Linked DNA regions of Arabidopsis thaliana. The protein of the gene in region 1 interacts with the protein of each later gene in a pairwise test. Each region holds a gene or a part of one and is shown in the gene's direction. Other genes may lie near its edges. The genes, in order: AT1G76590, MBD4, BT1 and AT1G10586.

What was found.
Region 2: the proteins of AT1G76590 (region 1) and MBD4 interact in a two-hybrid assay, tested with the Arabidopsis thaliana proteins (one large-scale study listed by BioGRID).
Region 3: the proteins of AT1G76590 (region 1) and BT1 interact in a two-hybrid assay, tested with the Arabidopsis thaliana proteins (one large-scale study listed by BioGRID).
Region 4: the proteins of AT1G76590 (region 1) and AT1G10586 interact in a two-hybrid assay, tested with the Arabidopsis thaliana proteins (one large-scale study listed by BioGRID).

The regions. Positions count from the first base shown.
Region 1 is NC_003070.9:28,738,490-28,743,235, forward strand, and holds AT1G76590 (PLATZ transcription factor family protein), read left to right. Parts: upstream 1-2,050; 5' UTR 2,051-2,385; coding exon 2,386-2,388; intron 2,389-2,482; coding exon 2,483-2,692; intron 2,693-2,778; coding exon 2,779-2,994; intron 2,995-3,096; coding exon 3,097-3,405; 3' UTR 3,406-3,742; downstream 3,743-4,746.
Region 2 is NC_003074.8:23,293,030-23,297,481, forward strand, and holds MBD4 (methyl-CPG-binding domain 4), read left to right. Parts: upstream 1-2,255; 5' UTR 2,256-2,364; coding exon 2,365-2,412; intron 2,413-2,883; coding exon 2,884-3,396; 3' UTR 3,397-3,597; downstream 3,598-4,452. Other genes in the region: AT3G63020 (hypothetical protein (DUF3049)), read left to right, coding at 1,396-2,010; AT3G63040 (uncharacterized protein), read right to left, coding at 3,617-4,180. UniProt on the Arabidopsis thaliana protein: Transcriptional regulator that binds CpG, CpNpN and CpNpG (N is A, T, or C) islands in promoters regardless the DNA methylation status. Plays probably a role in gene silencing.
Region 3 is NC_003076.8:25,332,162-25,337,804, reverse strand, and holds BT1 (BTB and TAZ domain protein 1), read left to right. Parts: upstream 1-2,234; 5' UTR 2,235-2,405; coding exon 2,406-2,537; intron 2,538-2,631; coding exon 2,632-2,771; exon of another isoform or gene 2,772-3,100; coding exon of another isoform or gene 3,101-3,117; coding exon 3,118-3,421; intron 3,422-3,522; coding exon 3,523-3,857; coding exon of another isoform or gene 3,858-3,861; exon of another isoform or gene 3,862-4,133; coding exon 4,134-4,320; 3' UTR 4,321-4,633; downstream 4,634-5,643. UniProt on the Arabidopsis thaliana protein: May act as a substrate-specific adapter of an E3 ubiquitin-protein ligase complex (CUL3-RBX1-BTB) which mediates the ubiquitination and subsequent proteasomal degradation of target proteins. Also targeted for degradation by the 26S proteasome pathway.
Region 4 is NC_003070.9:3,495,881-3,501,862, reverse strand, and holds AT1G10586 (basic helix-loop-helix (bHLH) DNA-binding superfamily protein), read left to right. Parts: upstream 1-2,423; 5' UTR 2,424-2,466; coding exon 2,467-2,604; intron 2,605-4,186; exon of another isoform or gene 4,187-4,207; coding exon 4,208-4,525; intron 4,526-4,663; coding exon 4,664-4,732; 3' UTR 4,733-4,935; downstream 4,936-5,982. Other genes in the region: AT1G10588 (Gibberellin-regulated family protein), read right to left, coding at 208-395, 503-587.

The DNA.
Region 1 (4,746 bases):
TCGATACCAAAAGGGAAAAAAAAAGTGCGATGAAGGAAACTGAGAATGAGAGGCATAGTGAGAAAACCCAAAGACATGTGGATCTTGGACATTGCAGAGATGGAATCACTCACTGGTCTTTGGTGAGCCAGAGAGTACAGAGAAACTGGTTCAGGTCAGAGCAGACATAGCTTCAACACAACACCCAAGTTTTTATATATTTGGCTAATTATGTTTTATTCTTGCATATGTTAATTTCCCATTCTCCCTTAATTACAGTTTTTAGTTGCTTAACACAAAAGCTGTTGCTATTTTACTGAAGCTGTTTTCTCCTGTGTGTTTATTGTATCTCTGTAGAGTTGTGAACGTAGTTGAACATTGTTGTAAAATTGTAATGTAATACCTTTTTGGTTAATCCTACGTAAAAGTAGTATTAGCCACTACTTGCTAAACATTTTAAAGGGACATCTTAAAAAGTGAAGATGATTCTTCACAAATAAACCACAACGGTCACGTGAGTCTCGTGCTATTGACTACTATTGTTGAGGTCGGTCAACAGTGCATTGCCCCATCTTTACCTTCTTCTTCCCACATTTGTTTGGGATATTTTTCAATTTACTCACTTTATGAATACAAACAAAACAATAAAACTAATCTCTTTTGTGTGTAGTTGAAAGAGATAAGATCGCAGAAAAGAAGACGATGATTCGTCGACTTTTCTCCCAACATTTTGAACAATTAGTTGTTATGTGTAATTTTCTATAGATAGCTACTATCTGATTACGTGGATCACACTTCTCTTTTTATTATTATCTCTTTAGGTTTCTTATCCCATATAATATGATATCAGGTCTCTTTCTCGAGTAATACATTATATATCTATGTTGATTATTTACTACTTGTCATTTAAGATAAGATACTTAAAAATACTTGTTATTGGATTTTGCCGGAAGACTTAACTTTCAAACTCTATTATATGTAGAAGATAGCGGACTGAAAAATACGTCGAAGACAGATACTTCTATTGCATAATTTTTGGGTAGGGACTAGAAAACTTACTCGTAGTTTCGACATATCATCCGCAATCTCAAATTAATTGCAAACTTTTTGATCATATCTATTGAAACTATCTTTCTAGCTTCATTAATTCGTTACCAGCCCCCAATATAAGCTATCAAGTATGAATATTAAGATGGATTTAACGGTGATAATAGTAGTATGTACAGTTTCTTTTGTCAACAGCTGATAAAAAAAATGAAAGCTTCTAACAGTTTGAGCCTAAAGAGATCATATATGTGAACAGTTTCACACACACATAAGCCGTACAACTAATATAGATATCACTTTGACCGTAAAAATCTAACAGTTTAGATCACACACACACAATCTTGAAACTAGTTTAAAGCACTTTCAGCGAAAAGTACTCACTAGATGATAAGAACTCTTTGGCACGTAACAGACGCTTTCGAACCCTACGATTTCAAGAGGTGGCTTATGTACGGTCCACTCAACTTCTTCATCCGACGGTCTAAGATTGGTCATGTGGGTTGAACTACCAAAAGGGCCAAAAGCGTGAGCCACGTTACATTATAAAAGATTTTGTCTTTTTAATCCAACGGTTCACACCAGAATCTCCAATTCGGTTCTGTCTCCTCTCGTGTCGGTCCATCTCTCTGGCTCTTCACCTCTAGCCACGTGTTTCTAATTTTGACCTTTTAAAATTTTAAGAAAAAAACAAATTATTTCTTGTAGCTAAAATTTAGCATCCAAATTCCAAACTCAGAGTTCTCTTCTATGGCCGTATGATACTTCCAATAATCCGTATGTATGTGAATATCATAATCTATCACAAACATAATGAATAGTAGTAGATATTAAGACAATCAAATTTGGTAGAAAAAATATCTTCCTACGTTGGGAATTATGTAGGACCGAATAATATAGTCGGCTAATTCGATATTTTGTCGCGAACCACGACATAAAATTATTTATCATCATTTGTGAACAATAATGATTCAAAATTATCAATAACACCACCTTTTTTTTTTAAGTTCCTTTACTTCTGGGGTCTCTAGAGACCCACACATGTGCACAAAATATACGTGTGTCTCTCATAGACTTTAAAGCAAAATTAGAGAACACTTATTTTTAGCCAAAAAAAGTAATTAAAGAAAAAACTATATAAAAACAGTTTAAAAAGGGGATGATATTAAATGATTTTCATGTGAATTATAAAACGTATTGAGTATTATCGTGACCGACTTCAAAAAACAAGAAAAACCTCAACTTCTCTTTTTCAGCTATAGCCGCCGCCTCCTCCCACTAAACTCAAATCCTCTCATAGTCTTTTCAATCAAATCTGCTCTTCTTCACTGTTGAAGCTGGCTATCAAAACTCACAATAACTATGGTGATTGATTGATTCTCTTTCTTACTTAACTCTGTTTTAGTTTCTTTGCAAATTCTTATATTAACCATTTGGAACTGGTCTAAACATTCTTCAGGGACCGATGATGATGAGAGCAGAAGAAGATAACTACAATCTAAATCCTCCACCATGGCTAATCCCAATGCTAAGAGCAAACTACTTCATCCCTTGTTCAATCCACGCCGCTTCCAACAAAAGCGAGTGCAACATGTTCTGTCTTGACTGTTCTTCTGAGGCCTTTTGCTCTTACTGTTTGCTCAATCACAGAAACCATCGTGTCCTCCAGGTTCTTTCATCAACTTCAAATCATTTTTTTCTCTCTTACCAATTCACCCAACAGAGTTAAGAAAATGGGATTTTCATTACTTGCAGATACGGAGATCATCGTACCACAACGTTGTGAGAGTAAACGAGATTCAGAAGTACATAGACATATCTTGTGTTCAGACATATATAATCAACAGCGCAAGGATCGTTTTCTTGAACGAACGTCCTCAGCCAAGAATCGGCAAAGGAGTCACCAATACTTGTGAAATCTGTTGCAGAAGCCTTCTCGATTCTTTCCGTTTCTGCTCTCTCGGTTGCAAAGTAACTCTTCTTTCCTCTGTTTTCCTCTGTTTTGAATGAATATCTGAATTTGCTCTGTATAGTTGAAATGACCATATTGCCCTTTTGTTTGGTTTATTTCAGCTTGGAGGAATGAAGCGTGATCCAAGTCTAACCTTCTCTTTGAGAGGGAAGCATGGAAGAGAGTACGAAGGTGAGTGGGAATCTGATGAAGCGACTACACCAACTAAGATACGCAAGACATGTGCTTTCAACCGTCTGATGAGTGGTCTTTCCATCTCCACCGTTAAATGTGATTACTTGTCAGGAGATCAACCGTCTTCGAGCTCCGGTGATGAGAGCGGTTTTAAACTTTCTCCGGGGACACCGCCGATATATAATCACCGGAATTCAAGTAGACGGAAGGGCGTCCCACACCGTGCTCCTTTCTAAAATTAATACTAACGGAAGCTAATTATATAGTGTAGATTATAGAAAATGTGGTTGTTATGTTGTAACTAAATGGTTAGTAGTTTTTAACCTTTTGAGCTAGGAATATACATATTGTAAGACATATTACTTACAGGTATTGTTTGGTTTTTCTTTTTATAGTACATATAGAAATTAGGTATATACTGTACTCAAAGGGATTGAAATATGTTTTCATATAGTTTTTTTGCTGTAAATATACGTTTGAAGGAGGTATGTTTCTTCAACTTGTTTGTATCGTATACTGTGTACTATCTTCACAATAAAATAGCAAATATGATAACTAGGATTTTTAACTGAAGCGCTAATATTCGAAGAACTAAATTGTCAATGAGAATGATACAGACGAATAACGAGATTTAAAATAAGAAACTGTCGATCAAGACATGTATTAGTATTGTCAGAACACAAAAACATTGGTGATAAGCTGGGGCAAAAAACATTCTGGGTCTATCTATTTCAAGGAAAGGAGCTTCGACTCAAAAGAAGCTTATGTCATTAGAACTTAGAAGTCGATTGTTAACAACAGTTCAAATACTTCGTTTCCCTAAATTGGTTATCAAGTAGTTTCAACTTTAAACTCGTGCTATTAGAATTTTTTTTTTATTTTCGAACGATATAACGTGGTTCTTCGAAACAATACTTCGCTAAATCCTAATAACTTTCGGCATTTGAAATGCTCATGATGTCATGCATCTACCTTTTTTCCGTGGTTGCCTCACCTTTTAATGGTGTTTTGATGTTAAATTTTTTTATGTATAAGTTGTATTTTAGTTTTTTTTTTTTTTTTTGACTGACTTTTGGATCTAACCTATGATTTAAAGATCGGAGAGACCATTCTGATCTTTGTATCTGGCGGGTCTTGGGAGATGGTGGAAAAGAAAAACCTATGATTCGTCAAAGATGGTTGAAAGATGAAGAACTTGAATATGAAGGTTTTTTCGATTGGGACAAATAGATGAAAAATAAAGAAAACATAAATTACTATATGACCTTATAATATATCGAATGAAAGCAATATCATTCGACTCAGGTTTGTAATTTAGTGGTTTATGTTATACTGTTTCCATGTAATAATCTGAATTTTAATACGATCTAAAATCAAATATGTGTAAGTTGTTGATGAAAAATAGAAAATTCTAGAGTTTTATAATCTTACATGGCAGTAAAGCAAAATTTAGCAATATTGAAATCGTTCAGATTCGGGTTTACATATAGATTCAACTTGATCTCAACAAGATAGATTATGACATACAGCGTGAGATTTTTGGGACACAATATCTCACATTTGCTGTTCTCGGTCAT
Region 2 (4,452 bases), on another chromosome or scaffold:
GATAAACATTTACAAATATTAGTACATACAAAGAGAGATAAATGTATACACAGATATGTATATATTCTAATATATTTAAATCAATCAAACCATAATAACTCAACCCATATCGAATGATAGTTTATTTTTGTTTTTTTGTCGGTACATCATAAAGAAATACTAGAACATAAGAAAAATAAAATATTACCAAATTAAGAAAATAAATCCAATCCACACTTGACAACAAAATAACCTGATCATAGAAGAGAAAATCAAAGAGGTAAAGGGGAAATAACGAGACTATAAAATATGGGAAGAAGTTAAAGAGTAGAGCTACTCCGAATGGAAAGTGTATTAGATGTGCAGAGATTCATAGAAATGGAAGAAAAATAGAAAAAGAAAACGAAAGAGAAGAAAAGTAAAGAAGAGACAAAAGCATTGAACAACGATGCTTTTGTCTTTATTAGCCTATTAACCTAAACCCCTAGAGATTCAGACACGAACCTTATTCATCTCGAATATCTCAAACCCTAAAGACCATTAAACATCATCGCTCTCTTATCACTTTCGCATTCATCATCAACTCGTCATCATATGTATGTTTTCATTCACATGGAGTTAGTCCAGAATAATAGACTGCATGCCGTTTAACGGTCTAAACAAAGACAACTTGTAGTAACGTGTTTTCTTACAAAATGACATAGCAAAATTAGCATGCATGGCTCAGGAGTTATCACATATCGTTAAAACATTTTGGGTTTGCTTTTAGCGATTGCCATTTGTCGAGTGTCTCAAAAGATTCTTGTGGCCCGTATAATGGGCTTTAGAATATCGTTCTATAAGCCCATCAAATTAATGAACTGAGTATTATTTCCGGGAAAGAAATAACGTTTTATGCAATTACGACCCAATTAACTTTATAGTTTTTTAAAACTGATGGGGAATGACCCAATTCAATGTTTTCACCCTCTCAATTGCAGCCATTAGTTAATACTGTAGTAATGTTTAGAAACTAGTTTCAAAATTTTCGTAGAAAAATTCATGTAATATTTTTAAAAATCATTCGATGTGCTGCATGCGTATTTCCCAAAAATTAAAGTTAATATGATTTAAGATTTTGTTCACAATTACTGCCACCAGAAAAAGGACGGTGAGATTAATATTTTACAGGTGAAAAGATTTTTCCAAGACAAGGTTTAATTTGACCATGCGGACCAATTTACTTACAAGGTGTCATGGTTTACAAAAGCCCGTTAAATGAGTAAATCCTGATCTGTTTGCCACGCTGGCAAAACCTCTCGCAGAGGCCCCACCAAATACTATAAATCATTAAATCTCGTTTAAGGCCCAAAAAATGATGCAGAGTTGCGATCGTAGAGAGTAGAGAACAGGGAAGGACGAGCGGTTATGTTAATCATGACGTCATCCTCTACGATTCTCACCGGAGATATAGATGAAGAACACCGCACGTCGTCAATGGCAGAGGAAGACACGCCTACGCATTCCCATCGACGGCGCTGGAGCACTCCTGTTGATTCCGGCGGCGAACCTCTTCAAAGCTTATCCGTGAGCAGATCTCTAGAGATAAAATCAGACCACGAGAATCCCGACGACGAGTGCAGGGAACATAGAGGTGTGTGTGGAGTTATTCTTGACGAATATTTCTCGTGTTCTTCGAAAAATAACAGTTACAGTTTCTATCTAGGAGGGAAGATATCGCCGTGGGGACCGTATGGACCGCCGCTGCTGACGGAGTCGAGATCAAAGGCGCCGTCGCCGCGGAGAGGAAGAAGCGTGACGAGGAAGCGAGATCTGCCACCATTTTTGACGACACTGGATTGTAACGGACGGCCGAGATTTCATCACAGGAGAGTGAGAAGCGAAGGACGGTTAGAGATTGCCAGCGTGGCAGTAGATTCACCGGAGATCGTTAGTGTTCGTGGGAGAGAAGGACTAAGAATCGGAACAGTGAGAATCAGTCAACAAAACGACGTAGTAGAAGATGATAATGAAGATAAACAGAATCACTGATCTTCCTCTTAGAATTTTGATATTTTCAGCTAATTTTCCGGGGGGAAAAAACGACATTGTAGTCCGATGATCCGTTAGAAACAAGATAAGAAAAGGGAATTATGGGCTTTACTTATGAATATTAGGCCCATAATAATATTTTGTTGCAAAACAAACCTGGGCCTGAAGCCCAAATAATTCGCTCAAGCCGACGTGTTAATTTATGATTTGTCCGTCACAGTGATACATTAAAGCACAGGCTGTGCGGTTATCACACTGTTCGCAGGAAGACTTATTTGAGAGAGTTTTACTTTTGGGGGACACAAAGATTTGGAGAAAAAGTTTACTAAAAAAGAATCTGGGGAAGTAAGTGAGATGAAGGAAGAGGAGGAGATCGGAAAACCAGCGAAACCAAAAGCCAAGGTAGTCCCACAATGACTTACATATATTTCGCTTTCCATTTTCTAGGTTCCGTTCTTTGCGTTTTTCTTCTCTTTATTGTGTTAGATGCGAACCTTCTTATAATTCCGGTCAAAGTGCATGCGTTTTTCGTGTTCTTACTGTCTTTGGAGATCTCAGATCCCGTATTAGTAGTTACTATTGATGGAGGAAGTTATACAAGGCATAGAATTCTAGGTTATCAGTTTTGGGGTTCACGATTTTTTGGTGCTTGGAAGTAAATTGTTGGTAGTTAACTTTGAAATCTTTGGTCTTGCAAACTTTGAGTCAGTCTCGTGATGTGTCGTTGCTTTCAGTTATTGCTCTAAGAAAGCCTTGGTTCTTTTCTTTAACGCTTGCTGGAGTAGTGTCGCTCCTTATTCTTGCCTTACATTATATATTTCTTCTACGCTCACAAGTCTTGTGTGGGGTTGTTTCACTGAGACTTAATGGCAGAAAGATGTTGCTCCTGGGAGGTTGATTGATACCTATGCTGCACAGTGCGATAACTGTCACAAGTGGAGGGTGATTGATAGCCAGGAGGAATATGAAGATATCAGAAGTAAAATGCTCGAGGATCCTTTTAACTGTCAGAAGAAACAGGGCATGTCTTGTGAAGAGCCTGCTGATATTGACTACGATTCTTCTCGGACTTGGGTCATTGACAAGCCTGGTCTCCCCAAAACGCCTAAAGGTTTCAAGAGAAGCTTAGTTCTCAGAAAAGATTACTCTAAGATGGATACCTACTACTTTACTCCTACCGGGAAGAAGCTCAGGAGTCGCAATGAAATCGCTGCCTTCGTTGAAGCCAATCCGGAATTCAGGAACGCACCACTTGGAGACTTCAATTTCACTGTCCCCAAGGTCATGGAAGATACTGTTCCCCCTGATCCGAAGCTTGGCTCTCCTTTTCCAAGCACTACTACCACTACTTCAGAGAAGAGCAGTGTCAAGCAGAGCCATAACTAATATGTTCTCTTCTACCTTCTTTCTGCTCCCTAAAGCAATGCGTTTTGAGTCTTTATAGATTTGATGTTCTCTAAAACTGTTATGATATTAACATCTCTAAGCAAAAAAATATGATCTTTTGTCTCTTCTTTAACCGGAACTCAAATGTTAAATATTCTTTTAATTTGGATTCTTACACCAAAGAAACACACTTATTCCTTACAAGTCCCCTCGTAAAACATTAAGTAGAGGCTACAACTCCGGGAATTCTCTCATGGCAAATCCTCATGCACCTTATAGTGAGCGGTTCCTCTTGAAGAATACTGCACGATGTCTCACAGACTTCCTCGTTGGACATGAAGCATCCGGATATGCATTTTTTATAGGCCTCCGGTTCGGTGTAAGACAGGCATTTTCTGTTGCATTTTGTCTGCAAACCCTCATTAGCAACACCTTCTCCTCCTATGACCATCATCTCTGGTTTGGACTTGGTGCGAGGGCAAACGGCCATGCAATGTTGAAAGAGTCCTTCAAAGGGGTTGCAAAATGCCTCACAGAAGGGATTGTGTTCTTCTTCTTGTCGTCCACTTGTCTCTTTCTCTATCTCCATCATCAACAGTTCATTGCACTTATCTTCACACTCTTTCTTCTTGTTGTGGATATCATGTTTACAGTTGTGCTTGCACTGTTCCACCACCAAATCTTCTACTGCACTTGACACTGTTGCACTTTCCAACACCAGAATAGCCCAAATCAGTGAGATGACTACTACCTTTGCTTTTGTTGGTATCATGCCTCTAGTCATGTTTTATAGATGTAATAGGTTATGATGATAATTTTTGTGTTATACTATATAGAGGGGTTGGTTAGTGACATGCAAGATTCTACAGGTGTTACGGGTACGTGTAGGTCAAGATTCTCCTATCATCCACTTGGACATCATGCTTTAGCCTGTGCATAGACGTGTCCAAATCCAACATAAGGAAACTCCAAAAAAATAAAAAGAAGAGAGGAGACAAGTTCCAATGACTTCAATTGATCCTTGCATTGAATTTGAGATGGTTTAAGGCAGGTGTC
Region 3 (5,643 bases), on another chromosome or scaffold:
AAGTACATCGCTGATTCATGATACTTCATACTTGGCTACTTGCATTATATAAATGGGCAATATATATCCAAAGTCCAAACTCAAAGGATAAGATCGGAGTATAAACATGCACATCAATCTCCAGTGCTTCAGAGTTCAAGTGGAATACAAACAATTTTAGAATAGAAAGTGTTCAGTAATATTTTAATTTCTAAACCCTTAAATGTGTTGGGAAGAATCTTACATGAAATCATCAAATCCATTAGTTTATTAACACTTTTCACTTTTCTCTTCCGTCGAAACTTATCCACAAGTTTTGGATTTTGATGTTTCGTTTTCTTAAAGAGCCATTTGTGAATACTTAAAGTTATAACAACAACATGATTAATATATCGAATATACATATACTTGTAGAGTTAATGAAAGGAAAACACCCCCGACATCTTATAATAAAATGTTATAAAACTAAAAAGTGTACATAAACTACTACTCTGAAACCTTAACACATTAATTTTCCAATAGTTAGAAACTTAGAATAGTTATATGGCCTTATGAGATGTCTACACTAGTTGTTAAATGTCAACACGGATATTGAAATTTCTTGGAACTGATTCTGAATTCGTTTAAGTACTTCGTTTAAGAGCTTGATGCGCAACATAAAGCTCTTATTTGACACGTGTCATGATGTTAATGGTTAAGCTTGACTGCCATATTGGCCTAGACTACCAGATTTGCCACGTGTAATATATGCGGCGAAATTTATTTCATTCTTCGATAAGTTCTTCAACATCCTATGATGTTCAGGCATTCTTAAACCACAATTAACAAAGGCCAGTGGCAGAAATGGATAAATGAGAGAATGACAAGTGGATAGACAAGAGGGCTTGAGAGTGGATGAGGATCAACAAGCCACGTAGACGAGGAGGTGGGCTCTTGGGAAGAGGCAAGGGTCGGTTTACTTCAATAACCACCCTTTCTCAAACTTAGAATAATACTACTATCAGCACTTTTTCTACATCACAAAGGCAAATTTCTTGACCGGTTTTATCACTTTTCCCACGTAGGATCAATAAAAAAAGATAAACATTCGTGACTTCATGAATCATGGGGACAAACATCCTACATGGTACCAAAAGTAAAATACATTACTTGTTTTATTGTCATCCCAAACATTACAAAGGGCCAAAGGCAATATTATTTCTAGATACTTTCAGTGGAAAGTATTAATATATGTGTGTAATGTTGGGAATAAAATATAGTCGACATTGGTGTATCGAAAGGTCCATTTAAAAACATAATATATTGTAATGATCTATAGGTTAGATCCTGTTGGTATATCAGGTTGGGAATAAGAAAATACTTTTGTTATACAATGTATTATAGAATATGTTGTGTTAGGGGGCACTGCGGCTATTTGACAATGTTTGAGGCATATTAGTCCTAGGGAAGTTTATAATAAGCTGCATCACCAAATCCTTTATACATATCTAAGCGTAGTAAGATGAATGTAACTGATCATAGATTTTAACATATGATATGAGCTCTGAATGGAGAAAATATATTTATCTAATTAAATAAAATATGTCATTCGGGTCCAAAAATGATATGCAGACTTAAATTTTCAAACTATTCAAACTAGGAAAATAAAATTGAACTTATCTTCTGGAGATTTTTTTTTTTTTAAATTGTGCTTTGTATATTTATTAGTCCAATATAAACATAAATGAGATAAGTACACATAGGCTTTTTGTTGTTGGGTTTGTTCACATTTGTTAGTTCTTTTTTTCTGTCAAACAGTAGTATATTTTCAGTTTTTCTGCTTCAAATTTTGTAAGCAAGAAGTTCTGTTTCATTTTAGTTTATAAAAATTTATAACAACATGTAACTATATGCTTTTAAAGTAGACTCAAATACTGGGTGTTATCTGTGTATAGATTAAGATACAACTAATTGTATCTGTGTCTTAGTGTCTATATATACGATTATCTATTTATCAAAACGGAAAAACCATAGCCAATTACTTGCATTTGGGTTGGTGTTAAAGACAACCGCAAATTATTTATCAATGAATCATAACTTATCTCAGAGAAATACAGATCTGAGACCCCAAAACTCCTGAATATACAGTTCACTACTTTTATTTCCAATTATTCTGGTTACCAAAAAAACAGAGATTAATTGACATACACGCATCTACAAAGGCGCGTAGGGTAAAACAGAAACAAAAACAAGATATTTATCATAAAAAAATGCCACGTGTTATTAACAAGTAATCAAAAAGGACCAGACTTCGTTGAGCTGTGTCTATAAAATCCAGAGAAGCAATGCCCTCAAGCTTCTCCATCATCAAATTAAAACCCTCCAGCCTCCAACAACAAAATTTACCAACACTCTCTCTTTCTCTTTCTCTCTGAAAACTTAAAACGATGGCTATAACCGCCACTCAAAACGACGGCGTTTCACTAAACGCCAATAAGATTTCGTATGATCTTGTGGAAACTGATGTTGAGATCATCACCTCCGGTCGTCGTAGTATTCCGGCACACTCCGGCATCCTCGTAAGTTTCTTTTCTTCTTACTTTCTTTGTATGATCGAATATTTTTTTATTTTGGTGCTTATCTTTTTTGTTTGTTTAAAATTGTTAAATGCAGGCTTCGGTCTCACCGGTACTGACGAACATCATCGAGAAGCCGAGGAAGATTCACGGCGGATCATCGAAGAAAGTTATTAAGATTCTCGGTGTTCCATGCGACGCCGTTTCAGTCTTCGTCAGATTCCTCTATTCTCCGAGGTTCGTCTTTCTCTCTTTTTCATATCTTCTTGATCGTCAGATTTTTTTTTTTAATCCGTAGATTTATTACTTCAAAAATACAAATCATACTAAAAAGAATGCTTGATTAAATACATCATCTTAAAGATCTTTACCAAACTCGACTTTTCCAACGTTTTAATCATACATTAAAATCACTACAACCAGATTGCGATTGATTTAGACTTGTTTCATATTCAAAAACGTGTGAAACACAACACAAGGAACACGAAACTAGTACCAACATCAAATTTGAATAAATCAACGGCAAATTTTACCCTTAGTATGCAAAATGACTAGAATACCCCTATATGTATCTTTTGTTTAGTGTCACGGAGAATGAGATGGAAAAATACGGAATCCATCTACTGGCTTTATCACACGTGTATATGGTGACTCAGTTAAAGCAACGGTGCACTAAAGGCGTCGGTGAGAGAGTAACCGCCGAAAACGTTGTCGATATTCTCCAGCTGGCTCGTCTCTGCGACGCACCTGACCTCTGTCTCAAGTGTATGCGATTCATTCACTACAAGTTCAAGACCGTTGAACAGACAGAAGGATGGAAGTTTCTTCAAGAACACGATCCTTTTCTTGAACTTGACATTCTCCAATTCATCGACGATGCAGAATCGGTAATTAACTCAAACCACACTTTTTTGTTTTCTTTTTTTTTGGTTCTTCAAGAAAACTCTGTTTTATTGAATTAGGTTTCTTTTGGGTCAATTTCTTGCAGAGGAAGAAAAGAAGAAGGAGACACAGACGAGAACAGAATCTGTATTTGCAGCTGAGTGAAGCCATGGAATGTATAGAACACATATGCACCGAAGGTTGCACACTGGTCGGACCATCGTCTAACTTAGACAACAAGTCAACATGTCAAGCAAAACCCGGTCCATGCAGTGCGTTTTCGACTTGTTACGGACTTCAACTTCTTATACGTCACTTTGCAGTATGCAAGAAAAGAGTCGATGGCAAAGGTTGTGTCCGATGCAAGAGAATGATTCAACTCCTTAGACTCCATTCTTCGATTTGTGACCAATCTGAATCTTGCCGTGTCCCTCTTTGCAGGTAAAAATCCGACATTTTAGAATAATCAAAACCACATTTTAAATGTTTCTAATGATAAAAGTTTTTCACTTTTCGATAGTAGATCTCATTTGATTTTTTTTTAACTTTCGGCGCCAATAATAATTATCTTTTTGTGGTGGTAGCCTACTTATTAGATGATGAGTCGTGATCGGACGGCTGGAAATATTTTGTTTGGTAGAATTATTAAAAGATATTTTAAGAAATGAGAATCTGATCTCGTTGTCAACTTTTTATTTGTTTTGGTGATTGGAGTAGGCAATATAAGAATAGAGGTGAAAAGGACAAGAAAATGGTTGAGGACACGAAGTGGAAGGTTCTGGTGAGAAGAGTAGCGTCTGCTAAAGCCATGTCTTCGTTGTCTCAATCAAAGAAGAAAAAAAGTGAAGTGTTATTTAAAGAAGAAGCAGAAGATTTGATCAGAATCCGGAACAAGTTAATGTGAATATACAATATATGTGTTTTTATTAGATTATATAGTGAGCGATTGTTAGAAGCCATTAATTACTTGAGTCGGAAGGTTTATTTGTTTGTTATTTGTCTCTCGGACTGGTTGATTGGGTTAAACTTGTCAATGAGTAACCCTTTGAATCTGTCGTTTTGTTTGGTCGGTCGAATTATATAGAAATGTATTATTGGTTATAAAATGGTATTAGGGTTTTTGGAGACTTTGTGGCAAAAAGTATACAGATTGATCCGGTTTAAACTAGCTAACGTCAAACGCAAAAGGATTACTGAATCTAAAGTAATGTGACAAGATGGAAACAAAATAATTATTCTCTTTGTAGTTGATTGGTCATGCCAAATTATATGACTAGACCTGGTTGCATATGAATCACAAAAAATCTAAATGAGATTCAAGTTGGATCGGTCTAATCAATCACAATAGCTTCAACCATGCATGATACAAAGGAGAATTTTGATGGAAATAATAGAAATTCAATATTGGAGATCAAAATTGACCAACCGGTCTTAGTCACTGGTATAGTGGAAGGTTGATCATGATTGAGGATTCAAAAGCAAACAAGGCAAATTATTAGAAAAAAACATGTGCTTATAATTAGTTAAAACAGAGATATTTTTATTAAATTCTTCATTCATACTTGGGTTCGACTGGAAAAAGGAAAGACGCGTGGGGGACAGATGAACCACGCAATGTGGTTTCGTGTCGGATGTCAATTACTCTTACATTTCAGTTCATACTTCTTAACTACCAGATGAATGCACTTAATAAAAAAAAAATCAAATACAAGAATTGTTCTTTTGAAATGGAAATGAATATTTTCATGTTATAACACGAGTTTTGACATAAAAAGGTTAAACAACTCGAGCAAGTTCATTCACTAAAGTTTCAACATGAAACTTATTCTAAATTGTTATTTTTACATATTTTGAAGAAAAAAAACAAAAAAGAAGATGACAATATCAACCCGTAAAGCTTTCTGAGTAGTGGAGCAATGCAGTCACCGATGTTTTAATACTAACGACAACAATGATTCTTATCATGACGATAGAGGTGACTAAAGATTCGACCACGTATGAATTAAAGAAAAGAATGTTTACATACGAACGACAAAAAAGATTCTTATCAGGAGTAATGACACAGAATAAGTGAGTGGTGACTAAAGATTTAACCAAAGACTTGGATGAGCTGGAGTAAGCAAAGACTTGGAAGCATCCTGCAGGTTCCGTGGAGGTAAAGAGTCATGGGAGTGATACGATTAATTATGCATTGTTTGATATTTTGACTTGTGAGCGACGATGTGTT
Region 4 (5,982 bases), about 25 Mb from region 1:
CCCAAGTTATTCGTTTAGTGAAATTGAAGCTGAGAAATATAAACCTCGACATGATTTATTCTTGATGTGTTTAGGAATCGGATTGAAGATAACAAAATTTTCATTAAGCTCACAGAACTTATTTCATACATCAAACATATATAGATGTAATTTCCATACATATAGTACGTAGATAATATGTATGTGATGAGGATCTTCAAAGAATGTTCAAGGACACTTGGATCCGCCTTTGGAGTTTTTCATATCACGGTAGCAAGGACATTCATCTTTGTTTCCATAAGTCCCCGAAGGAACACAATTACACTTCTGGCAACATATATCGCAGTCCTCAAGGCACTCCTCATGTGTTCGATCTGCCTTTGAGCATCTCACACTGCACTTTCCACCGCATGCTGCTAATTCATTTATCACCATCACAAATCAAATCTTAGAATTTCAGACAACTAGTTTCAAAATGATAAATAACCTAAAAAATAACTAACTAGATTAAGTATACACTTACATGAATCAGCGCTTGAAAGTACATAAAATGAAGATGTGAGGAGAAGAGAGATTATGAAGAATTGTACAACCACGGGCATCTTCATTTCTGGTTAAATTTAAAGCTTTCTCCTTTTATGATAGAGTTAGTTTAGTAAAACCAAAAACTTCAAAGATATGCGAAAAGAAAGTAGTTGATGATGGACTACATATAGTGAGAATTTGAAGTGAAATGTTTGTTATAGGTTGTTAAATAAAATATATAGAAATAAAAGATTTCATACTTGTTATGTCGATACTATTCTCACTTAATAATATTCACATACAATTTAAAACCATATTCAAAGAATTGTATGACTAGGTACGTAGTATTGAAAGATCTTTAGCTAGTGCTACAATGTAAGAGACAGCTATTTTTTATATGGAGATCCAATCTTTCTTTATTAATAACATGTATGGACTGGAATCTCGAATATACCGTTACCATTTTATAAATAATGGCTAATTCGTGAGTGTTATTTTAGAAATAGCCAGTTTCTTAGAATAGTAGCTGATCTTGATTCAAATATTTGACAAAAATAAAGAATAAACATGTGTGCCTTGACAACAACAAGCAGCGACGACTAGGCGATATATATATATATATCTTTTATACCCAAAAACAGATAAATATACACAAGTTATTCCTTTGGACGATTTTGCAAAACAAGGAAAGAAGACAAAATGAAGGTTTTCTTCTTTTACTTCTTTGCGGCTAACATGTGTTCCATCATGTTCTAAATGCTTTGTGTTTTTTCCTTTCCAAGTTTTGAAAACGCTCTGTTCGGTCTAGGTGGCAAAATTCTGCATAACATCTAGGGATATGAAATTGACTCAAATACTACGAACCAAACCGGACTACCAATGAACCGGGTTTTAGCAAGTGTACATTTGAATATTTGGTTGGGGTCATTCGACGAAGAGATTGTTTTACCGCATCCACAGAACTGATTTAGTTCTAATCATGGTTTGGTTATGGATAAATAACGAACAACAGAAATAAATAATTATATGTAGATCAACAGTGATCTGCTTTTAGTATTCAAGAAATTAGCAAAGGCTCCAAGACTCAATTTTGCGAGGTTTAATTTTATGTTTTTGTTTTTATTCGGTGAACGATTCATGTAGAATTGGTTAGAAAGTTCAATCTAGAATTGGTCACGTGTATAATTATTATTTTTGTTATTAGAATAAGACTTGGTCAAGTGTATAATTGAACGACATCTCCGGTGAAATATGTCAGCTTTACGGCCAAAAAATAGTTCAAAGTCTTTTATATCGGTAAGGAATAATGATAGCTTGTTGAATAATCTTAGATTCTTCGTTTTTGACACCAAATTGTCTTAGCATATGTGACCTGTATAGTGTAATTCGGATAATAAATATGGACACCTATTAATTAAACATGGAATTGTTACATTATCATTTAAAGGTATCTTTAATTTTATCTAGCCTATTACAAATGATCAACATAATTATCATGGTATAACAAAAAAATTCCCTTGTTGTTTTTGTCGATCCAAACATGGTACTTATGTGAAGAATTCATCACATATAATCCGACTAATTTAATTACTATGTTCTGCTGAAATGATTTTGATAAGCACATTTTCTACAAGCTTCACTAGAACAAAACCTAGCGTAACACTATCTAGGTTCTAGAAATGTGTCCAACAAAACCTTACCAAGTAAGTAAAAAACATATTGGACATGTTTAGTATCTCTAAGAGTGGAACTTACAAAGTAAAAGAAGCATATATATGTATAAATTAAGTAGTGTGTAAGCTCATGGACGCAACCAGAAAAGCCATGACTTTCTTTGAAAAACATCATTTTCATCTAAAATTACGCGGCTCTTTCTCTCTATCTCTTTATATTTATAGAGGGAGAGATGGATTTGGAAAGAGGGAATTAAACATAGTAACCTAAAAAAGGAAAAGAAGAAGAATGGAAAGAGCGAGAGAAATAGGAGAAGGAAGCGCATCGTCATTACGGGAACAACGAAACCTCAGAGAGAAAGAACGACGAATGCGCATGAAACATCTCTTCTCCATACTCTCTTCTCATGTTTCTCCCACTCGTAGGGTCCGTCTCTCTCTCTCTACATGTATTTTATTGTTTATATATACAGAGTACATAATTTTTCGTAGATGTAATGTATGTGTTGGTTTTGTCTAAGCGCCTAGACGCTTAGGCAAGGGCTATGTTGCGAAAATCCTATGGACATCTTGATTTTAACCAGATCAATCAAAGAACTGATCAAGGGATAATCATCTTGATTTGAACCAGATCAATCAAAGTGCAGCATTTAGCTAGGGTTCTCAGTATTTAGTACAAGCCAGCTAGGACCATTATATGTAGTGTAGAGTTAAAACAAATGATTCATATCTATATATACATTTTTGCAGTCATTTTAACAAATAAATCCTGGACTTAGAACTTATTTACGACTCAATGCCACTGAATTTATTTTTTTCAATCGACATTTTAAATCAAATATTTACCTAACAAAAATATTGCCTAAAATGTCTCTATATTAAATCCACCATTACTTCAAAAAAAGTCTAACATTACTTCAAAAAAATCATTCCTAAAATCTCTCTTAAGTATTTATTAATTTTCGGTTTTAATTTGCTGCAAAAAAAAAATCGGTTTTAATAGTACAAAATATTTTAAGGTAGAATTTTCTTTCCATATTTATTTAATATTTCGTTTTTACAGCATTTAATATTTTGTTTATAAATAACAAATTAATTATTTAGCATTCAAGAAACTTTTTTCTAATCTATCCTTTAATTATATTGACATTATTGATTGATTTTTAAAATATATAGAGATTCAAATCTTCCATATATGTTTATCATCTTCTAAGGAAATTAAACAATTATTTTCTGAATCTAAACTAAAATTTAGAAAACTAAATAAATAAATAAAATCGTTTTAATTATTTTCTAAGCTAAACTATATTACACTATGATCTTTAGTTTTGAATCATTCATTTTCATTGTAATATAAAGAATCAATCTCATATTTTCCGTGTTATACAAATAATCAATCTCATATTTTCAGTTAGTAAAATGTACATGTATTAAAACGTAACAAAATCATCGTTCTCAAAACTATTTCAAATATATTACAATCTCATATATCACGCAGATTTCTTCAAAATTTGAACTAAATGTCGGTAACTATTTATAACAAAAAATGTTTGGCAAACCAAAATACAATTGCAATCCCTTAAAATGAGCAAAACGCACTTAAATACATTTTTTTATCAATTCACTAAATCTTATTTCTCCAAAATTTAAACTAGATTTCGGCAACTATTTAAAACAAAAATTGTTTGACAAACTAAAGTACAATTGTAATCCCGTAAAATATTTATTTTAATTATATATTTAAATCAACGATGTACTGTAGTTTTTTTTTACGGGACGGGTTTGGCGGGACGGGTTTGAAAGGACATTACTTAATAACAGTTGTAAACTGTAAAATAAATATATTTTATAGATAGATATAATTTACGAACTTTTATATATACTAATTTAAAAAAACAATTGTTCCCGCGGTGTACCGCGGGTTAAAATCTAGTATATTACATTTTAGTTAATACATATAACGATTATAACCAAATTCATACAAAAGACATGGAAGTAACTAGGTTGTGTGTTTTTATTGGCACCAACAGTTGCCAGTGCCTCAACTTATAGATCAAGCGGTATCATACATGATCCAACTGAAAGAGAAGGTAAACTATTTGAATGAGATGAAAAGGAGAATGTTAGGAGGAGAAGTCAAAAATCGCTCTGAAGGGTCGTCTCTTCTGCCAAAACTCAGTATTCGTTCACTGGATTCGATCATAGAAATGAATCTGGTTATGGATCTAAACATGAAAGGAGTAATGTTACACAAGCTTGTGAGTGTTTTTGAAGAAGAAGGAGCTCAAGTGATGAGTGCTAATCTTCAGAACTTGAATGATAGGACCTTTTATACAATCATAGCCCAGGTACATGCATGTGTCATGTTTTTTTTTTTTTTTTTAGCAGCATCTCTTTGTTCCATATCATTAAAATATAGTTTGAACTTTTTTTGAAGGACTATATATATATGATAAATTAATAATCACCTAAATGAATATTTGCAGGCTATCATATGTCGGATCGGGATTGATCCATCAAGGATAGAAGAGAGATTAAGGGATATAATCTCATGATTAATTTTTTGAAGCATTATTGAATCCCAAATCACAAGTCTTTTCTTAACAAATTAAATGTGTTAGTTCTTTAAACATGAGATTATGAGTATTTTTAAGAGTGAATTGGTGTAATAGCCCTATTGTTGTTTAAGTTAAAGAGAATGATCAAATGTCTGAATACCATTTCCTCAAGTATATGAACGAAAAAGCCTCTCACATCATCTTCAAAATCTCTTTATTTTCTCTTTTCTTTCTATGCCTAATCTCTATTACGTTTATAGAATCTCATGTTTAAATATAAAATATATTATCTACTTTTATTGTCAAGAACTCTCAAATTTTCTTTCATTGAGCATTTTAAGCTCAAATATTTTATTACAGGCGCCGTCTAAAATAGTCGTAATTGATATTTGCATACATAGAATAGATAGATGTTATGCATCTGATGACTATCTTCAAAACATGTTCAAGGGCATAGGCATTTGGATCCACTTTTGGAGTTTTTCATATTGCGATAGCAAGGACATTCATCTTTGTTTTCTCCTAAAATCACACATGGTTAGATTTTGTATGTGAATATAGTTAACTAAAACTTAAAAAACATGTATATATACACGACATAACTAGTAAACAAATCTTTTTTTCTAAATGTCTTATATAAATTGGACAGTATATATAGATCGATAACAAAAATTTCGCTACAAATTTTCTAACTATAAGTAATCATCCTTTTCTAGCCACAGAATTAGTTACAAGTAATTATAGGCTTAACATTTTAAAATTGGGCTAATCTGTATTTCTAGTCACGGATTTTCAATGGCTATGAATTATGATAGTTACCAAATGACTATTCTCTTCTTGTACGAATTCAAATATTTGAAGAAGGAAAAAAAGAATAACATGTGGAAAATGCAATAAGGATATAATTGTCCCTTACTCAGTTTCTAAGCAAGTGGTCAAGCAGCGAGACGATATATACACAGTGTTAGTATCATATTGCGGCTCCTTTTACTTTTTATGTCAGTTTGCTCAGTGGCAAAGTTATGACCAACATCTACCTGGAGTACTCCAAGACTCAACAAAACTAGGCATGTTTAATTTTCTGTCTTTGTATTCACCTCCGGTGAACGTTTAGACGATCGGTCCATGTAGATCCCCTATCCGGTGAACGATGTCGGCCATACGGCCAAAGAGAGTTGAGGGCCTTTAATAATTTATGTAAGGAATGCCGAATGTGTTGTGTCCTTTTCTTCTATGATAATGATAGC